Arabidopsis thaliana: one gene and its partners. The protein of the gene in region 1 interacts with the protein of each later gene in a pairwise test. Each region holds a gene or a part of one and is shown in the gene's direction. Other genes may lie near its edges.

Region 1 (5,193 bases):
GGTTTCGTCTCTGTTCTCATTTTTTCCAAATTTCTCTTCCGGAAAATGAAGATTTCTATGGGTTTTTGAGTTTGGAGATTTTCTCAGTGAAGTTTATTACATAATCAGATTCGAAGAAGAAGACATTTCAGGTGAGTTTATAAAAATTCTCTTTTTTGAAGATTTTTCTCGGGAAAATAAGAAAACAGAGAGATTCGTTGCTCTGTTTCTGTTCTTCTGTAGAAACGATTAGTCACTGGTTTTTTTCCGATCGATCTTTTCAATACTATTTTTTCCCGGAAAAAAAAAGATTCAGAGATTTTTTTTTTTTTTTTTGCGTTACCTTTTTCTGCAAACATTTGTCACTTGATTGATTTGATTTAGACAGATTCGATTCGTCATTTTTTTCTGATTAATACCAAAATTTTCTCACTAAACCCAAATCAGAAACTTCACCGAAAAATGTGTATTCATTCTTCAATATTAATATAAATTTTCATTTTCATTCAAAAGTTTCCCGGTATTTATTGTTCTTTTACTTTTTTGAGAAAACGCCGAATTTTTTCTCAAAAACATTAAAAGCAAAATTGTAGTATCATAAATTGTTTTCGTCCTTTTGTAACACATTTATTACAATTACTGTCTGTAACACTACTACACTAATCTTCTCTGCAGCCATTGATGGTCTATTTATAGACGTAGACTCAGAACTAACCCCACTCGTGCCGGCTTCCTAAATAGACCAAAGCCTTCAAGAGGAAAATAAAGCAGAAGCTAGCTATCTAGTATCTCAATAATCTCAGATCATATCGCTTCATTTCTCAGATATCGAAACACAAAGGTGAGTGAGTAATAAACAAAACCCACTAATCAAAATTTTATTTTTTGGATTGTAATGATTAAGAAAAAAAGAAGAAGTCGTTTTCTGAGGTGAGAATAATAATGGTTTTTGTATCAGTTTTTGCCTTTGCTTTTGATATCAAAACAGAGTTTTTTTCGTGATTCGTGATTGTTTTTGCGATTTTATCTTTTACTTTGGATATAGTTTTAGTTTTCATGTCGCGACACGCTTTAGATTGGTCCATCATCACTCAAAACCCTAAAAATAGAAACCAATCTCTTTTTCTTTTTCTTAACACGTGACTGTCAAGATTCCATTTTCTTGTTATATTTTTCAATTTTGTTTTGCTTTTCTAGTGTTTCCAATTGTTTTCTTCTTTACTTATGTATTTGTCTTGATCGATGTTAAACACGCGGAATCAGAACATATTATTTGATTCTCTTGAGTCATCACAATAATCTGATTTTTTTTTAAAATGTCATAAATTTCGGCTACTGCAAAAAAAATGTAATTATTCTTCGAACTTTTGTTAGTTGAGGGATGGGTTTAGGATCTTTTGCTGCACACAAAAGTATTAAGTTATTCTTTAACAAAAAAAAAAAACTATTTAAAGTAGAATAAAGAAGCATTTGTCTCTATTATGATTGTCTTTAGAATATATTATTACTTGTAAATAATGTGTTTATACAATTTTCAGGTGTTTAGATTTGCACAATTAATTTTTAAAATATTAGTATTTCTTAACTGGGTCCTATTTTCTGATCCCCAAGCTCTCTTTCTTTTCTAGTTATAACATCTTTTTTTTTTTAATAAAGAAAAGTGTAACATGTAGTTTTAATATCTCTTTCAACACTTTTGTCTTTATCAAGATCTCTTCACTAATTTATACCCATCTTTTTTTATTCGCTCTTAAAATAGGTAACACAAATATCCGACCATGGTGTAATGTAAACTGTTTTTCTTTCTTTCCATTTTTAAAAAATGGGTTTAGTACTTGAAATATTTAGCATTGGTTCTTTATGAGTTAAACTACTAACCAGTCAAGTTACATTTTCTTTTTGTTATAACATGAGTAGTTGTTTCCTGACTAGAGATATGTCAACAACTTTGTCCTTTTGTGTTTGTGTTTTGCGTTATAAGAAAACGACAATTGAAATCCAAATACCCTTTTCTAGCTATATGTTCCTAACTTGTAACTAATGTTTACATGTGTACTACGATTACATAAGCTTTACCCGTGTTTTATGTCGGATTGTGAGAGTGAGCTCTACTTTAACGTTCTTAATTACTTTTTGTTTTGTTTTGTAGAGTATTATTATTGATTTGAGTAGAGTAGTGTGAGGTTTGGTTTGTGATGATGTTTAATAGAGTACTCTCTGGTTTTATAGGTCTGAAAAGGCAGAGAACAACTCAAAAAAGAGACCAAAAATGTTTTCTTGCATAGCTTGTACCAAAGCAGACGGAGGTGAAGAAGTCGAACATGGAGCGCGTGGAGGCACCACTCCCAATACTAAAGAAGCCGTCAAAAGCCTAACCATTCAGGTCTCTCTCTTCTTTCTTTGTTGATCCTTCTTCTGCTTTTATTTTCTTTCACTTTATTTTATTGCTTTTCTCTAATTGCCTTGCTCGTGAAACAAACAAAGACACAAACCCCAATTAACGTATCTTAGAGGACTTAAAAAGGGTCCATATATTTGACTATTATTCGTTTTCTTTACCAAAGAATAGAGTTTGAAGTCATTAGTATATAGAGGTTACTGTTGTTTAGGACAGAGATCTTACAATGAGGTAACTTCACTTCATTTTTTGGAATCTTTCACCAATCTCTCTTTAATAGTTTTCATGTCAGTGTTTGCTTCCTCTCTATGTGACTAGACATATGAAAGTCAAAAACAACTACTGAAACAATTTAAACCCTCATTGTACATATCCTTGAATTATGTAGCCAGTTGAATTATCAGGACTATCATTAAAGCTTATATTGGGGTCATACTTTGATGAATATTGCTAGTGAAGCTTGATCTAAATACCTTTCTCTCAAATAAGCTTTAGTGGATTCTTACCTAGACAAGGAAATAAAGAAAGGGTTTTTTGGGGTGGGGGTAACTATTTTAGTAAATCAAAAGAACATAAACAAAAGAAATAGTGGGCCGTTATGATTGTGGTGCAGGCTAAGAAGACAATATGAAGTTTCTTTTTTTAATACATATGTTTAATTATGTTAGATCTCATAGCTTTATTGTTGTTCTTTTAATAATGATCATAGTAGACCTCTTTTTACTTCATTGGGCTAAAAAGTATACTTAGTCATACTTAAAAAGGCTTGAAACTACCTATAATGTTTGTGTACCGTTATACTCAACATTCTTGTGTGTTTAAATGGATTACTTTGATAAACAAGATAAAGTTTTTGAATGTAATCGGTCTTTTTGGGTGCATATGTTACGCAGATTAAAGATATGGCTTTGAAATTCTCTGGTGCTTATAAACAATGCAAGCCATGCACTGGTTCCTCTAGTAGTCCCTTGAAGAAAGGACATAGATCATTTCCGGATTATGACAATGCCTCTGAAGGTGTTCCATACCCTTTCATGGGTGGAAGTGCTGGTTCAACTCCTGCTTGGGACTTCACAAACTCCTCTCATCATCCAGCTGGACGGTTAGAATCAAAGTTCACTTCAATATATGGAAATGATCGAGAATCTATCTCTGCACAGTCTTGTGATGTTGTACTGGATGATGATGGACCAAAAGAGTGGATGGCTCAAGTAGAACCTGGTGTTCATATCACATTTGCTTCTCTTCCCACTGGAGGAAATGATCTCAAACGGATCCGTTTCAGGTATTTGAACTACTCAAAACAATCTCTATATCTTCATGGCATTCAACGCTGAAACATGAGATAAAAACTAACAATTACTTGTGTCTTGTTTTGAAAGCCGAGAGATGTTTGATAAGTGGCAAGCTCAACGGTGGTGGGGTGAGAACTATGACAAGATCGTTGAGCTTTACAATGTACAGAGATTTAACCGCCAAGCTCTCCAAACGCCTGCAAGATCCGACGATCAGGTAAACACATATATCCTTAGATCCCTTAGTCTTTCTTCAGAACAGGATCTATATGAATCTTGTCTTTTAAGCCAGAGAGGGTAACACAAGTTTATATTTCAGTCACAGAGAGATTCAACGTACTCAAAGATGGATTCAGCAAGAGAAAGCAAAGACTGGACTCCAAGACACAATTTCAGACCTCCAGGATCTGTCCCGCATCACTTTTATGGCGGCTCTAGCAACTATGGACCAGGAAGTTATCATGGAGGACCACCGATGGATGCAGCAAGAACCACAACTTCTTCCAGAGATGATCCACCTTCCATGAGCAATGCTAGTGAAATGCAAGCTGAGTGGATTGAAGAGGACGAGCCTGGTGTTTACATTACCATCAGACAATTATCAGATGGGACTAGAGAGCTACGTCGAGTCAGATTCAGGTATAACAAAACGTCTAAAACTAAGCATTTGCTAATCATATACATTTTGAAAGTTGGTAATCATACCGTGACTAACCGGAATCTATGGTTTTGTGGTTTAATCAACAGCCGGGAACGGTTTGGGGAAGTGCATGCAAAGACATGGTGGGAGCAGAACAGAGAGAGAATACAAACACAGTACCTCTAAGCAAACGAAATATTATGAGTACCAAAATCTTTAATTAATTAATTAATCTCCTTCACATAACAACACAAACTACACACATTTTGCTTATCTTTTTGTTCATCTTAGCTTAACATCTATACATAAATTAAGTGTTTTGAAATATCATTTCTAATCAAAGCTGATTACATTTACATATAATTATAAGTCTATAACTATCGTGTAAACCATGTCGTGTGTTTTGTGACAAAGATAAAGAAGTCAACTATGAACCTAAAAGAATTTATCAACATGCGGTATAGACTATAGAATAAAAAAGTCAACTTTATTATTTGCTTATAAGTTATAACGAATACAAAGTAGAGTTGACCATTTGAGTTTTTAGATGAGAAAACCATAAACTTGGAGGAAAGTCACCATAGTTCCATCAATGGCTGAGATTTCTGATATTACTACTCAGACACAAACCGTTGTCTTGGACATCGAAAACTATCAATCCATTGATGATTCCCGGTCGTCGGATTTATCCGCTCCTCTTGTGTCCGTATCGTTCGTTCAAAAGGTGAGCCGCCTCTTTTATGTTGCGATATGGTTTCTTAATTTGTCGTGAAATATTTGTTAGTCCAAATCAAGATTTTATATTTCGTGTGATGTTTGCTATAGCCTATATGCAAGCTCAATCTTGACTTTGGTTCTAATTATTGGTAACTGATTTTCCA
Region 2 (4,776 bases), on another chromosome or scaffold:
ATGCTTGTGGTTTGTGGTAAATCTCATAATGATCATTTTTGTTTTAGTTGGACGAATAAAGGTTGTGGTTGAGAAACAAACACGTATGCTGTGGGATCAATTCGAACCATTCATACGTGATACGTCGACTATAGCAACTAATAAGCATATTTTATTAACTACATTACACAATATTCTTGATTGACAGATACATAGATTTTATGTTTGAATTAATTAATCTTTCGTTATGTTATATTTAACAAAAACAATACACATTATTTGATATGTATTATATGACAAGATACGATTCCATGAATTTTCTAATATACATTACACATAAATTATAGAGCGTACGTCAAATCATAACATAAAATATTACTATATTTAACAAAACCCAACTCGATGGTCTTTGTCAATATCTCCCCATGCAACAAAATACGTACATCCCTCGTGCTTTCTAAGTTTCTATTTTTGTATTTTTGTTCCTCAAGTGAAATCCATATCCACTACTTTTCTAGTTGAAAAAAGTTAGAAGTTAAAATACAAGTAAATCCAGATTCACTTGTCAGCTCAATCCTAACATGTCTTTGAAAATGTGTGTCCGAAAACTTGTCAGCCCATTATTAAGTATGTGAAACAATACTTTAATTTGAAGTAATTAAGAAAAACAATACATTAAATCTACTTTTTTTCTCATGTAAAACTCTTTGACACCATTGGTAAAATCCAATCATTTATCTTCCGATCTTATTGACGATGTCATTAATTTGTTAATTGTATGATGGTTAATAAGTTTATCCAATGTATGTTTTTGTTTAATTTATTTATCCAATGTATTATTTTATTTTAACATACAATGCTAATCAAAATTTTAGTTTAAGTAATTAAGAGAGTCCTTTAAGAATAATAAAAAAATGTTGGTTTATAACAGAGAGTCCTTTAAGAATAATAAAAAAATGTTGGTTTATAACAGAGAGTCCTCAATGCAAATCAGATTGTTTTAAACCTGCACACAATCCAACAAAATCATCTCTTCTTGCTAAAGCTAATCATCTCAATTATCTCACAAGGTTCAACAATCGTATGAATGTGAAGTATATAGCCATACACCCCCATCTGTAATTAACGTGTCCGAACGGATTGTACATTAGAGCACCTCCAATGTATAGGATTCATATAGTTTCTAAAAAAACAAAAAGTATTAATATTTTATTTTTATATCCAAAAAACAAAAAAAAACAACCTATATGAATAATAGAAACGATCCTCCCAATTTTAGAGATTCTCTCTCATCTCTTTTTTAATTTATAATTTTTTTTTGTAATTGTATGAGTTTCTACTAAAAAACTACGGTTGGAGTTGGTTTTAGTTGCTACAAATATAGTAGCAAATGTGTTTTAAATCGGAATCTTAAAAACGTATAGTAGTGCTAAACGTCTACGTACAAAATACGAATATTGAACGTATAAAAAAAAACACTTTCTGAAATCTGCAGGTTAGAAAATTATTTAAGAGATCCAGTTGCAATGTGAGTAGTATACTAGTACTGTTGTATTAATAAGTCCTAATCGAATTAAGACCATATCATTATAATTCCTTTCTTTTGTGGTCACGGGGGTAACATTATTTTTCGATTATTCTCCATTGATTGGCAAAGATTCATTATCCAAATATATAAATAAATCAGTTCACACACACAACAACTGGCCAATGACTCAAACTGGAACCCACTCACATTGATCAGATCATAACACTTTTAGCTTCAGAAAAAAAAAAAAAAACAGCTATCAAACATATCGTCTTGTTACTCTATTTATACCCTAATTCCACATATCTACACACAAGCAATAAAGAGAGAAAAAAATATAAAGCTACCAAAGAGAAAATGGTGACACTAACACCATCTTCTGCTAGTACCCCAAAAACATCTTTTGATTTCATGAAGAATAACAACAGTCACAGCAGTCTCTATGTTTCTTCTTCTTCTTACTTGAGCAGCAAGGAAGATGCTCTTGTCACGACCAAGAAGCTCATGGAACCAAGCAAAACACTAAACATGAGCATTAATCCAAAACAAGAGGAGTTTGGTGATGAGAAGAAAATGGTGAAGAAAGCTCCTGAAGATCCAGAGATTGGTGTGTTTGGAGCTGAGAAGTACTTCAATGGAGACATGGATTCAGACCAAGGTTCTAGTGTTCTGTCTCTGACAAACCCAGAAGTTGAGAGAACCGTCGTCGACTCGAAGCAGAGCGCGAAGAAATCTACTGGTACTCCGAGTGTCCGGTCTGAATCAAGCTGGAATAGTCAGAGCGTGTTGCTTCAGAACAAACTGGTGAATAGCTGCAACAGTTCCTTCAAGGAAAAGAAGAACAGTAATGGTCAGATTCAAAAGGTGACCAATAATAAGAAGAGTTTTCTCGCAAATTTGGGGTGTAAATGCGCATGCTCTGATGGGGATTCTGTAGATGTCGAGGAGAAAACCTCGGTCAAGAGAAGCGCTGATCCGAATATCTCTGTTATCACAATGAGATCTTCTGCGGATATGAACACAGAACTGATCAAGATTCAGAAGCAAGAGGAGTTATCACAGAGGAAGTCTCTTGAAGTTTTTGGATCTCCAGTGGCTATTGAGAAGAAGAGTAGTGTTGTTCAGAAGAAACTACCATTGCCTCCATGGAAATCGAGAACAGAGGAGGACGACACAAAGAGTGAAGGGAGTGATTCAAGCTCGGATCTTTTCGAGATAGAGGGTCTTACAGGGAACCCTAAACCTTTTCTTACGAGGCAAGGAAGTGATCCAGCTTCACCTACGTGTTATGCGCCAAGTGAAGTAAGCGTAGAGTGGAGCATAGTGACAGCAAGTGCAGCAGATTTCTCTGTTATGTCAGAATGTGCAACAAGTCCTGTAAGAAGAAACCGACCTACTCAGATTCCTCGAATCCCTATTACCGCTAAATCAGCACCGCAGAGACGGAAATCGAGTAGCAGCAGCGGAGGGAATGGTTTCTTGATGAGCTGCAAGAGTCATAAATCTGTTATGGTTTCTGGTGATTTAGACAGAAGAAGCAGCATGAACAAGACACAACCGAGTTACGTTCCTAGATTCCCAATGGAGACTACTAAACCTAAGAGTTTCGAAACACGAAGAAGGATCAGCAACAGCTCGATTTCTCACACACAATCATCTCTTCTTTATAGTCAGTGATTGCAAGAAAGTAAAAGAAAAAGATTTCAATCTCTGATCTCTCTTTATCTATAATTTCTACTGAGTGAGAAAGATATGTAAACTTATAATAATGTCTTGTTGAGTCCATGATCAAATCAATTTAAAAGGGTTTCTTAGAGACCTTTTGCACCTAAGAAAAAGTTACTCAAAGAGTGACAAATGATTGGAGAGTGAAAACAAAACATTATGGTCAGTTAAAAACACAGATCTCAAATTCAGCAAAATAAGCAGAGAGACATTCCAAAAATTGGCTCCACCAAGTTTTACCTTTTTTGGATTTAGTCTCAAGACTCAAGAGAGAGAGATATGAGTTTTGTCTTAGCTTGAAAGGGTTAAATCAAACGTACACTAGATTGACAGAAAGAGCTATTAATGAGGAAACTTAAATCAATGAAAGTGTCATATTACCTAACATATCTAAGATCTGGTCCTGAAACTCATCTAAAGGCCATGTATATGTCTGAAATAAAAGTAAGGTAGACAAAACCTTAATTGCTAGTTGACAATATGAGAGAAAAGAACCAAAGTGCCTTACTAAGACAATAAATGCAAAGAAAGATCAAAGATGTTTGTCTCTGTAGCCTACTCATAAGGGAAATGATCGAATTTACCCCAAATGATCTTATCCAGTTCACTGATATTTCTCTGTAAGATATTTCAAAAAGGGCTAATTAGATTTCAAGAAAAGACATAAATGAAACCAAGATGATGACATCAAAGCTAGTATAGCTAGTATGGGCTTAAAACCAAGAAACATACAGATCTTGAAGATAAGTATTGTACCCTTCTCAAAAGATATGAGAAAATAATTGACCACACTATATATAAAAATCTAATCATCTAACTACTTAGTTTTCATATGTGGATGAGAGAAGAACAACAAAAGCAAGAAGACATTTTGTGTTAAGAAAGCAAAACAAGATTACTCATCTTTGAATTCTTTGGTTGGACATTGCCTCAAAGCATCCGCTTGCTCTCTTTCGTCAAGTGAATAAAGGCAAGTTGGTAATGAGATGAGACTCTGATCCCACATGACAAAAAATGGCTGAGAGAAGTTTCTATTTAATTCCATAGAGTTTGTGGTGAAACATTCACTGTCTTGATGTGAAAGGGGTTCGTTCCTCAGGAGCCCACCAAGAGAAGGAGAAGAGTCTTGTGTGGTCGTTTGCTGCATCTCCATTACTTCATGTTACCAAAAGAATACAAAAAAACCCCAAACATAGGTTCAGGAACAGATGATGATTATAGAAATAACAATCTTATATTATCTGACAACAAAGTGGTAACAGTACATCAAAACTAGGATTCTTGACTGTCTCTAGCTATGTGTCAGTTCCTAATATCTTCCACAGAGAGAAGGAAATAATGATCATATGCCAACATAAAGAAAATCAAATCTTTTTAAAGCACCCCTAAGTGTATCATAACATGAGAAAAATAAACCTTTAAAGGAAAGATCACTCGATTTTCACAAAGATAACAATCACAGTGCTCTGCCTCTGATTACCAAGTAACGTTTAATGTTCAATTGCCCCGAGTGAAACCATTACCAGTTATTTCAAGAAGATCAT
Region 3 (5,016 bases), on another chromosome or scaffold:
AGTCGTCCTTTGCAAAGATTTATCAACTTTCTAACAAAAAGAGAAGCTACAGAAAGTAGAGAAAATTTTGTACTTTTGAAGTAAAGAAAAAAAAAAGAAGTAGACAAAATTGTGTAGGATTCTTCACGGTTTTTGCATTCTTCTTTATTACCAAGTCTTCAATATTTTCATTTCAATAAAACTTCCCCTTTCTTACAAAGAACTCTTATTTTCCATTTTTCTTCACATTTTTCCTTGCAAGATCACTCATTTTAATTTATGTAAATGATAGAATTTGAAGATCCATACTTCAGCAATCTGTTTTTCTTGGCATGTTGAGTTTTTATCAACAACACCAATTATTATTTTATTTTCTCTGGTTCAAGAAATTGTCTAAGCTCCATTCAAACATTCTGTACTTATATATAAAGTTTACATCATCACATATTGTGCATCAAATAGCAAAGGTTTTGGCAACATACATATAATATGAATCGTGCTTGTACACACACACACACTCATGTATATATATGTATTTATTGTTTACCCTTGAACAACATTTTTAGGTAAGGGGGTCTTCTATCATCAGGAAAACATAAGGTAGATGAGGTAACATCTTTAGATTCGTTCGAAGTAGAACTCCTATGCATTTGATCAAATTGTTTTCTAATTAAGTAATGCAACATTTAAACCATGTGCAGCACAAACGATGGCTTATTTAGGTGGATTTGCAAATCTTTTCACTCTTTAGGGCATATTCCAATCAACTACTGCTTGAAATTTGACTGATCAATGTGATGCAAAATTCACGGCATGGCTTGTTTTAGCAGCTAGTTTCGACAACCTAATCACCCGAAAATAACAAACAATCGGAAATGCAGCGCGATAAGTAGATATATGTCTGTGATCACCCAATTAGCCACAAAATAGTGTACTATGTTTGTGATGTTACCCTTTTACTCTTCAATTTTAAATACATATCTCGTTATAGTATTTTTTTTTTTTTTTTTTTTTTTTTTTTTGGGTAAAACTCGTTATAGTATTTCGTTAGAGTATTAACATTTGTGTAAACATAATTGTTGTCATTAATCGTGGGTCCAAATCATGACACATCACAAAGTTTCTTGGACTTGTTATACATGTTCCTTAAAATGATTAGTTATATATTATCTTAATAATCCTGATCTTTAAATCGAACAAATTTAGATTTAGCTTCTTTTTTTTTTGTTAAAATTTAGATTTAGCTTTACAAGATGTACCTTTGATTATGATAGAGGAAAATAACAGTATCCCACCCAAATACACGGTTATAATGAGATTTTCATGTATGTAGAAAAATCATCAAATTGTAAGAAAACAATTGGAAAAATTGAGTGTGTTGTTTTGAGTAGCAAAATATGAAGAATCCATCAAACCAAGAAATTAGCAAAGATGTAGAAAGGAAGATTTGGTCGATAGATTCACGGACGTATTAGAAATGACCACTTTCCGATACAATCGTCCCAACTAGGAAAAGAGTCAAAGCTTTTCGAAAGAAATTAAAAATTCCTCTATGAAAAATAAGTCAAGAAATTGTTTTAAAAATATTTAAGGGCCAAGTAGAAAAGGTCACATCTTGCCTTACCAAAAAAAGACAGTTCATTGAAATTTTATCGGGACAAGTTTACTATTTTTAATTAATGCGTATCTACTTCAAAACATGCGTAGCATTAACGGCGATTCCACGTCAATTTCATGGCGTCCACAATTTTTGTATAAGGATAAGAGAGTTACTTTTATATTTTTAAAATCTATTCTGAAAACTTTAAGAACTTATTTACATGAATACATGGTCAGAAATGTGCGAGACCATTGTTTAACTGGTTAAAAAAAGGATTTATTTACATAGAAATGGATTTAAATCACCTGTTACACTTTTATTGAAATCATTCTCTTATGATCATTGCATCGTAACTCGAGATATTTATTTTTCATGCTTTAGTTTGTTAATTATATCTAGTTTTATCATGTTCTATAACCCTTTTTTAGGCACTCAACATAAATAGCAAACCCCGATTTAGTTCAATTCGCGAATCAATTTCGTCTTGGTTATTCTTTTGGCTTTGGTCGTATTTAATTATGCTAGCTGCCAGATCTTAGGCACATCACTTTGTTTAGATAAGATTAGAACATTTCTTCACAGTTCACTTAGTCGTCACATATCAAACAAAGTAGACAACATTATAAATAAAAAAATTCCACAAATAATTTCTGCTTATATATATAGATATGTAACCAAATCACAAAATTCCACATAATTAGTCTCACATATACTTGTAACTAGTCAGACAAAGACAATGGAAGAATCAAACCGTAGTAGTACTGTCTTGTTCGACAAATACAACATCGGAAGACTTCTCGGAACCGGTAACTTCGCCAAAGTGTATCACGGAACAGAGATCTCCACCGGCGATGACGTGGCAATCAAAGTCATCAAAAAAGACCACGTTTTCAAACGTCGTGGCATGATGGAGCAAATCGAACGAGAGATCGCCGTCATGCGTCTCCTCCGTCATCCAAACGTGGTCGAGCTCCGCGAAGTAATGGCTACAAAGAAGAAGATTTTCTTCGTCATGGAGTACGTCAACGGCGGAGAGCTTTTCGAAATGATCGATAGAGATGGGAAGCTCCCGGAGGATCTAGCCAGAAAGTATTTCCAACAATTGATATCCGCGGTGGATTTTTGCCACAGCCGCGGTGTTTTCCACCGCGATATTAAACCCGAGAATCTGTTGCTTGACGGAGAAGGTGATCTTAAGGTAACGGATTTCGGACTTTCCGCATTGATGATGCCAGAAGGGCTAGGTGGCAGGCGTGGTAGCAGCGATGATCTTTTACATACGCGGTGCGGGACACCGGCTTACGTGGCGCCGGAGGTTTTACGGAATAAAGGATACGACGGAGCTATGGCTGATATTTGGTCGTGCGGGATTGTTTTGTATGCACTCCTTGCTGGCTTCTTGCCGTTTATCGACGAAAACGTCATGACATTGTACACGTAAGTATTTCTTGACCAGGTTTTGGCCCAAACCGTATTTGTTTTTGTTATTTATTTGACGAATAGTGAGATACAAAAAAATATTGAACTAAAAGCCAAAGTAGTCCATTTTGAGTTGGGTTTCTAGATGCATCTCAATTTTACATCACATACTTATATATGTTAAAAAGAAATAATAATCATTTTTGGTTAAATAAAATATTATTTGAAAGAGACAGTTTAACTTGTACCAATAGATACAAAACTTGGATATAAGATATACTATTTGAAAGTTTACACACACAAAAAGAAAAGATATATAGTATTTGAATTATTTGTTCACGTAATTCAAATTTTAATAATTACTCAAAATTATACAATATTTTCCAAGATATTGAAACTATTATCAATTTGTGAATATTCGGGTGGTATTTTAGGTACATTAATCTGATATCAAATTCGATAAATGTTGGTCGATCGTATATTTCATTATAGTTCTATATTATCAAAATTTCACGTCCCGTATTTTACTAGATAATTTATAAAACTCCCGCCAATAATAACGGTCTCAAATAGTGCTCTTCTTACAAATTCAAATATTAGTATTGTTGAATGTGAATGTGAATTGATCAAATTCTCATTGTTGTTTCTTGTTTGATTGAACCTTTCGAAATAAACAGGAAGATCTTCAAGGCGGAATGCGAGTTCCCACCGTGGTTTTCCTTAGAATCCAAGGAACTACTCTCAAGATTGCTTGTGCCGGATCCTGAACAAAGAATTTCAATGTCAGAGATCAAAATGATTCCATGGTTCCGAAAGAACTTTACACCATCAGTAGCCTTTTCGATAGACGAAACGATCCCATCTCCACCGGAGCCACCAACAAAGAAAAAGAAGAAAGACCTAAACGAGAAAGAAGACGACGGAGCTTCACCAAGATCCTTCAACGCCTTCCAATTCATCACATCAATGTCTTCAGGTTTCGATCTCTCTAACCTATTCGAGATAAAACGAAAGCCAAAGCGGATGTTCACATCGAAGTTCCCGGCGAAATCTGTTAAAGAGAGGCTGGAGACGGCGGCGCGTGAGATGGATATGAGAGTGAAACATGTAAAAGACTGCAAGATGAAGCTGCAAAGAAGAACAGAAGGTCGTAAAGGAAGGCTCTCGGTGACGGCGGAAGTATTCGAAGTCGCTCCTGAAGTCTCTGTCGTGGAGTTCTGCAAAACCTCGGGGGATACGTTGGAGTATTACCTCTTCTGTGAGGATGACGTCAGACCAGCTCTTAAAGACATTGTATGGTCATGGCAAGGTGATGATGATGAAGACGATGTTACCACTAATGATAATGTTGACACAAATGATAACAAAATAAATAATGTTTCATGAGCTGTAATAATTCACTTTTTGGAATTGGATGTGCGAGGCGAGACTGTCTTATTGTGAAATTGCAAATGTATAAGAACATTTTTTTTATGATTAACAATAAAAATTACTTGGAGGGTTTGTACAATTGTCAAAAACTATTGAAGCAAAATTGGTTATATATGTTATGAACGTTCTATAGGTCATTAGTTCGAGTCTACTTCTCATTTTTTTTTTTTTTCAAGTGTTCAAAGCGAAGTAGTTTTGTTAATCTATATACAAACTTATACGGTTTACAAAATCTATACACGTTCAAGGGTTATATTGCGGATTACTTTTCAAATTCAATAAAATAATGTATATAAGATTAAGTAGGGCGGACTCACGTTGGTGCACCCACTAAACTATAAATATTTGAATTTTTACATAAGGAACTGTAACTAATCTAGTTTAATAAACACTTTGAAATGTAAGAGGTGAAGGGTTCAATGCTTTTTTTTGTAATATCATCTCCATCGTTGTTGATTGGATGTGCGCGAGCGAGATTGTCTTATTGTATATATAACACCATTTTTATAATATAATGTATATAACATTACCATTATACGCAAATTATTAAGCGATTAGTACAACTTAGAATGTAAGAAGGTATACAA
Region 4 (4,320 bases), 7.7 Mb from region 1:
TTGGGTCTAAACTGTGTTAGGATTACTAGGGCACAGAATCGGTCTCTGTCCCATTTCGCGAACTTTCTCCTTAGAATCGGAACGGACGAAGAAGGAAGACAAGGAAGAAGATCGGAGATGGCATCGAATGCGGCGGTTCCGTTCTGGAGAGCGGCGGGGATGACATATATATCGTATTCAAACATCTGTGCGAATATCGTGAGGAACTGTCTCAAGGAGCCACACAAAGCTGAAGCTCTTACTCGCGAGAAGGTTCACTTCTCTCTCTCCAAATGGGCTGATGGAAAGCCCCAGAAACCTGGTAAGCCTTTTCGATCCTTTAATCGTCGATGTTGGATCTTAGATCTGGATTCTTCACGTTCTTGTGTTCTCGATTCCTGATTTGTTTTTGAGTAATTTGTTGGAATAATCTGATTTCCTAAAAGTTATCGGAATTAAGTGGAAAGTGAATCATCTGCTTCTGGATTTGATCTTCGATTTTGCATTTAACCTTTCCTCTGCTTCTGGATTTGATCAGTTCAATACTATCTTCATACAATGTTGTTATGTCCAAATTGTTGAATTTTTCATTTAGAGTTAGCTTCAGAGAAAACAACAAAACTAGTAGTATGTGTGAAACAAGAACATGAAGAAGATGGAAAGCTGATTGGGAACATTGCATTTAGATGTCTTTTCTCGTTTATGTTTGGATCTGAATTCTTCATGTTCTTGTTGTGTGTCATTGAAATTGTTGGAATACGTAGATATCAGAGTAGGTCATTTTGGGAAAGCTATTGAATTTAAGAGGAAGATGAATCATTTTAACAAGCTCCATCGATTTTGCGCTTAATCTGTCTCTCTTCTGCTTCTGGATTTGATTAATTTCATTCTATTTTGTTTTCTCATAAGTTGTTGTTATGTTCAAATTGTTGAATTTGGAATGATTTCATTTCTCAAATAGGGTTTACTGAGACAATGATTCCAGATTTAGTCTATCTGAAAATGGTTCAGCTTTCTTCTTGTTGATCCATTTGTCTAACATTCTCTCATGTTTTTGTTTTTCCTTGACAGTTTTGCGGTCAGACACACCTGAAGTTTGAAGTCAACTTTGAGCTTATGTTCTTAAGGGATTCAAAAGTAACTGAGTTACCAAGATTTGTTTTCTTTTTATTGTCAACAATGGAGCTTGAGTGAAAAACTCATTTCCGATCATAATAATGACACACTGAGTCTTGTGTATCTCTTTTCTTCTTTTGCTATTCTGTTTCACTTTTTGTATGCGAACAATGAAAAAAAGCCTTTAAAGACTCTTCTGGCTAAAGACAAGTTCTTTTGATTGTTACAGAACAGTGAGAATAGCATAAAACTAAGCACATACGTGGAGAATCAATACACTGTCAGAAGTTGAGAGAAGACCATACTTAATATTAAACATGAGAATATACAAACTGATTTTCTGAATCATGTATTTTGAATCGCAGTACGCATATTTGCAGGTTAGACCATCTCCAATGTCACTTTTACGCGTTTGTTTGATTTAAATTCGATTTCCTCTTCTTGGTTTATATCACAAAACCAACAAAACGACACCGCGTAAAGTCTGAAAAAAACTTAACAGAGCCAGAAGTGCCCAGTGAACCAACCACACAAAGTCACAAATGGTTTCCGTGCTTGAAAGTGATCCTCACGCGCTTTACACATCGCGTAGATACCTTTTTCTCGATTTTAACAATTTTGCTATTTATTTCCTTTTAATTAATTTTCTCAAAATAAAAATTAACGTTCCCTTTTCAGTGTCCTTTCAATTTCTTTCGACGAAACTTCATTTCTCAATTTCTTTTGATTTTGATCGCTTCGAAGAACGAATCAATTTAAGCCTGCCACAAACAAACCCTAGAATACGACAACGCACGACGACGAAGAAGTCGAAGAAGACTACTACTATAAACGACGAAGATCATTACTTCAATCTTCAATCGAGCTTTTAAATTTTCAGATCGTAGAAGAAAATCGAACTTTTGATTCCAAAAGCGATGAGACCGATTCAATCGCCTCCAGGAGTTTCCGTTCCGGTGAAAAGCCGTCCCCGTCGCCGTCCTGATCTTACCTTACCGCTTCCTCAACGCGATGTTTCTCTCGCTGTACCTCTTCCTCTCCCACCTACTTCCGGTGGTTCCGGTGGCTCTAGTGGATCTGCGCCGTCTTCTGGTGGTTCGGCGTCTTCAACGAACACTAACAGCTCCATAGAAGCGAAGAACTATTCGGATTTAGTGAGAGGTAACCGTATCGGAAGCGGAGCAGGTGGAACGGTATACAAAGTGATTCACCGTCCGAGTTCTCGTCTATATGCACTTAAGGTGATATACGGTAACCACGAGGAGACTGTGAGACGTCAGATCTGTAGAGAGATCGAGATTTTACGAGATGTGAATCATCCAAACGTTGTGAAATGTCACGAGATGTTTGATCAGAACGGTGAGATCCAGGTTTTGCTTGAGTTTATGGATAAAGGTTCTTTAGAAGGTGCTCATGTGTGGAAAGAGCAACAATTAGCTGATCTATCTCGTCAGATTCTTAGTGGTTTAGCTTATCTCCATAGCCGTCACATAGTTCATCGTGATATCAAACCATCGAATCTTTTGATAAACTCTGCTAAAAACGTTAAGATTGCTGATTTTGGAGTTAGTAGGATCTTGGCTCAGACTATGGATCCGTGTAATTCATCTGTTGGAACCATTGCTTATATGAGTCCTGAGAGGATTAACACTGATTTGAATCAGGGAAAGTATGATGGTTATGCTGGAGATATTTGGAGCTTAGGTGTTAGCATTTTGGAGTTTTACTTGGGGAGGTTTCCTTTCCCTGTGAGTAGACAAGGTGATTGGGCTAGTCTTATGTGTGCCATTTGTATGTCTCAGCCTCCAGAAGCTCCAGCGACTGCGTCGCCGGAGTTTCGGCATTTTATCTCGTGTTGCTTGCAGAGAGAACCGGGGAAAAGGAGGAGTGCTATGCAGCTATTGCAGCATCCTTTCATATTAAGAGCAAGTCCGAGCCAGAACAGGTCTCCTCAGAATCTACATCAACTCTTGCCTCCTCCTCGTCCTCTGTCCTCGTCTTCTTCTCCAACCACATAGCGTTTTCTCTCTTCTTCCCTTCATCAACTCATATTTTTTGTGTTACTACTGTTCTTGAGTCTGTTGTCCAATTTTTTGCTAATCATGGAGGGTCTCTGAATTTTACATTTATTAGGGAGTAAAAAACTCGAGAGAGGGTTTTTGGGATTATTGTTTTCTAGAAAGGTAAAAGAGAACAATGATAATATTCTTATGCTTATGATGGTGCATGTATCCCCAATGTAGCTTTGTTGAATTTTCATAAAAGTTTTTGCCTTGGTTTTTCTTTTGTCATTTATGCTCGTCAATTTTGCATCTTGAAGACGAAAAGGACCGTTTCGTTTCCATTCTCGGTGTTTAGTTTTGTCATTGATAAAATGTCTCCTTGTAAAGCTTATTACCATCATGAAAAAGCAAAATATACGGATCGTAGAATCGTTTCTCAAACCTAATCAGGTTGATGTCCCAGTTTAGAACATCCTTGGAAGAGTTTAAGACAATTCCTCAATCCGAGAGAGCAAAACGACTGTGTTTAGCAAAGTGGGTCTAATTGAAGAAAAGAGGAACTTGGGCCAGCTAAAGATAAAGCCCAATGTTGAAAAGACGTCGTCTAAGGCACAACAACGGTCAAACGGTCATCTCCAAAGTTGGAAAACGACAAGAAACAAAAACACAGAGCAGTGGTGATGAATTGAAAGCTTGTACGGAGAAAGTAGCGATTCTCGCAGCCATTGATACGATTTGATGACAGAGGATGGTGACATCTGTCCTATCTCTAGGGTTTTTCGAGTCACCCATACTCTTGTCTATAAATACTAAATCCTTTAGGTTCCTTTGGTTGCTTCCTCTGCTTGTGAGTTTTTCTTTGTAAGTGCAATCAGTGTTACTCTTTAGAGTTTTTTTCTAAGTTGTTGAGATTTTTGTAGCTTGCTTTGGTTTGTCACAATTTTTGCTTATGCATTTGCCTTTGTAGGAGCTTTTAGTTACGTTTTAGGGTTTTTTTTTTTTGTTACGGATTTTGCTTGCTTGTGCATTTCCTTTTTCAGTGTGATTAGTGAGTAGTTACGTTTTAGCGTTTGATCCTTCTTTATTTTTGTCATTCTTTGGTAAAGAAGCATCACACTGGCTCGATTTAACCACAAACTCCTTCCTCTGTTTTTTGTCATTGATAAAAATGTCATCTTTTTACTATTTCAGTGTGATTAGTGAACAATGAGGAGCTTTTGGT

Evidence for each region.
Region 2: the proteins of BRX (region 1) and PKS1 interact in binary tests that used the Arabidopsis thaliana proteins (3 or more experiments, as listed by UniProt).
Region 3: the proteins of BRX (region 1) and CIPK16 interact in binary tests that used the Arabidopsis thaliana proteins (3 or more experiments, as listed by UniProt).
Region 4: the proteins of BRX (region 1) and MKK4 interact in binary tests that used the Arabidopsis thaliana proteins (3 or more experiments, as listed by UniProt).

What each region holds. Positions count from the first base shown.
Region 1 is NC_003070.9:11,445,556-11,450,748, forward strand, and holds BRX (DZC (Disease resistance/zinc finger/chromosome condensation-like region) domain containing protein), read left to right. Parts: upstream 1-1,731; 5' UTR 1,732-1,765; coding exon 1,766-1,767; intron 1,768-2,208; coding exon 2,209-2,362; intron 2,363-3,270; coding exon 3,271-3,662; intron 3,663-3,759; coding exon 3,760-3,889; intron 3,890-3,991; coding exon 3,992-4,311; intron 4,312-4,419; coding exon 4,420-4,498; 3' UTR 4,499-4,637; downstream 4,638-5,193. Other genes in the region: NIP3;1 (NOD26-like intrinsic protein 3;1), read left to right, coding at 4,905-5,036. UniProt on the Arabidopsis thaliana protein: Acts as a regulator of cell proliferation and elongation in the root and shoot. Regulates roots architecture and primary root protophloem differentiation.
Region 2 is NC_003071.7:853,557-858,332, reverse strand, and holds PKS1 (phytochrome kinase substrate 1), read left to right. Parts: upstream 1-1,607; 5' UTR 1,608-1,864; coding exon 1,865-3,184; 3' UTR 3,185-4,256; downstream 4,257-4,776. UniProt on the Arabidopsis thaliana protein: May be responsible for light-regulated cytoplasmic sequestration of phytochromes or may be a negative regulator of phytochrome B signaling. Component of the network that modulates the very low-fluence response (VLFR) branch of phyA signaling.
Region 3 is NC_003071.7:10,669,910-10,674,925, reverse strand, and holds CIPK16 (CBL-interacting protein kinase 16), read left to right. Parts: upstream 1-2,033; 5' UTR 2,034-2,315; coding exon 2,316-3,016; intron 3,017-3,675; coding exon 3,676-4,384; 3' UTR 4,385-4,516; downstream 4,517-5,016. UniProt on the Arabidopsis thaliana protein: CIPK serine-threonine protein kinases interact with CBL proteins. Binding of a CBL protein to the regulatory NAF domain of CIPK protein lead to the activation of the kinase in a calcium-dependent manner.
Region 4 is NC_003070.9:19,152,563-19,156,882, forward strand, and holds MKK4 (mitogen-activated protein kinase kinase 4), read left to right. Parts: upstream 1-1,760; 5' UTR 1,761-2,012; coding exon 2,013-3,113; 3' UTR 3,114-3,776; downstream 3,777-4,320. Other genes in the region: AT1G51650 (ATP synthase epsilon chain), read left to right, coding at 118-301, 1,051-1,079.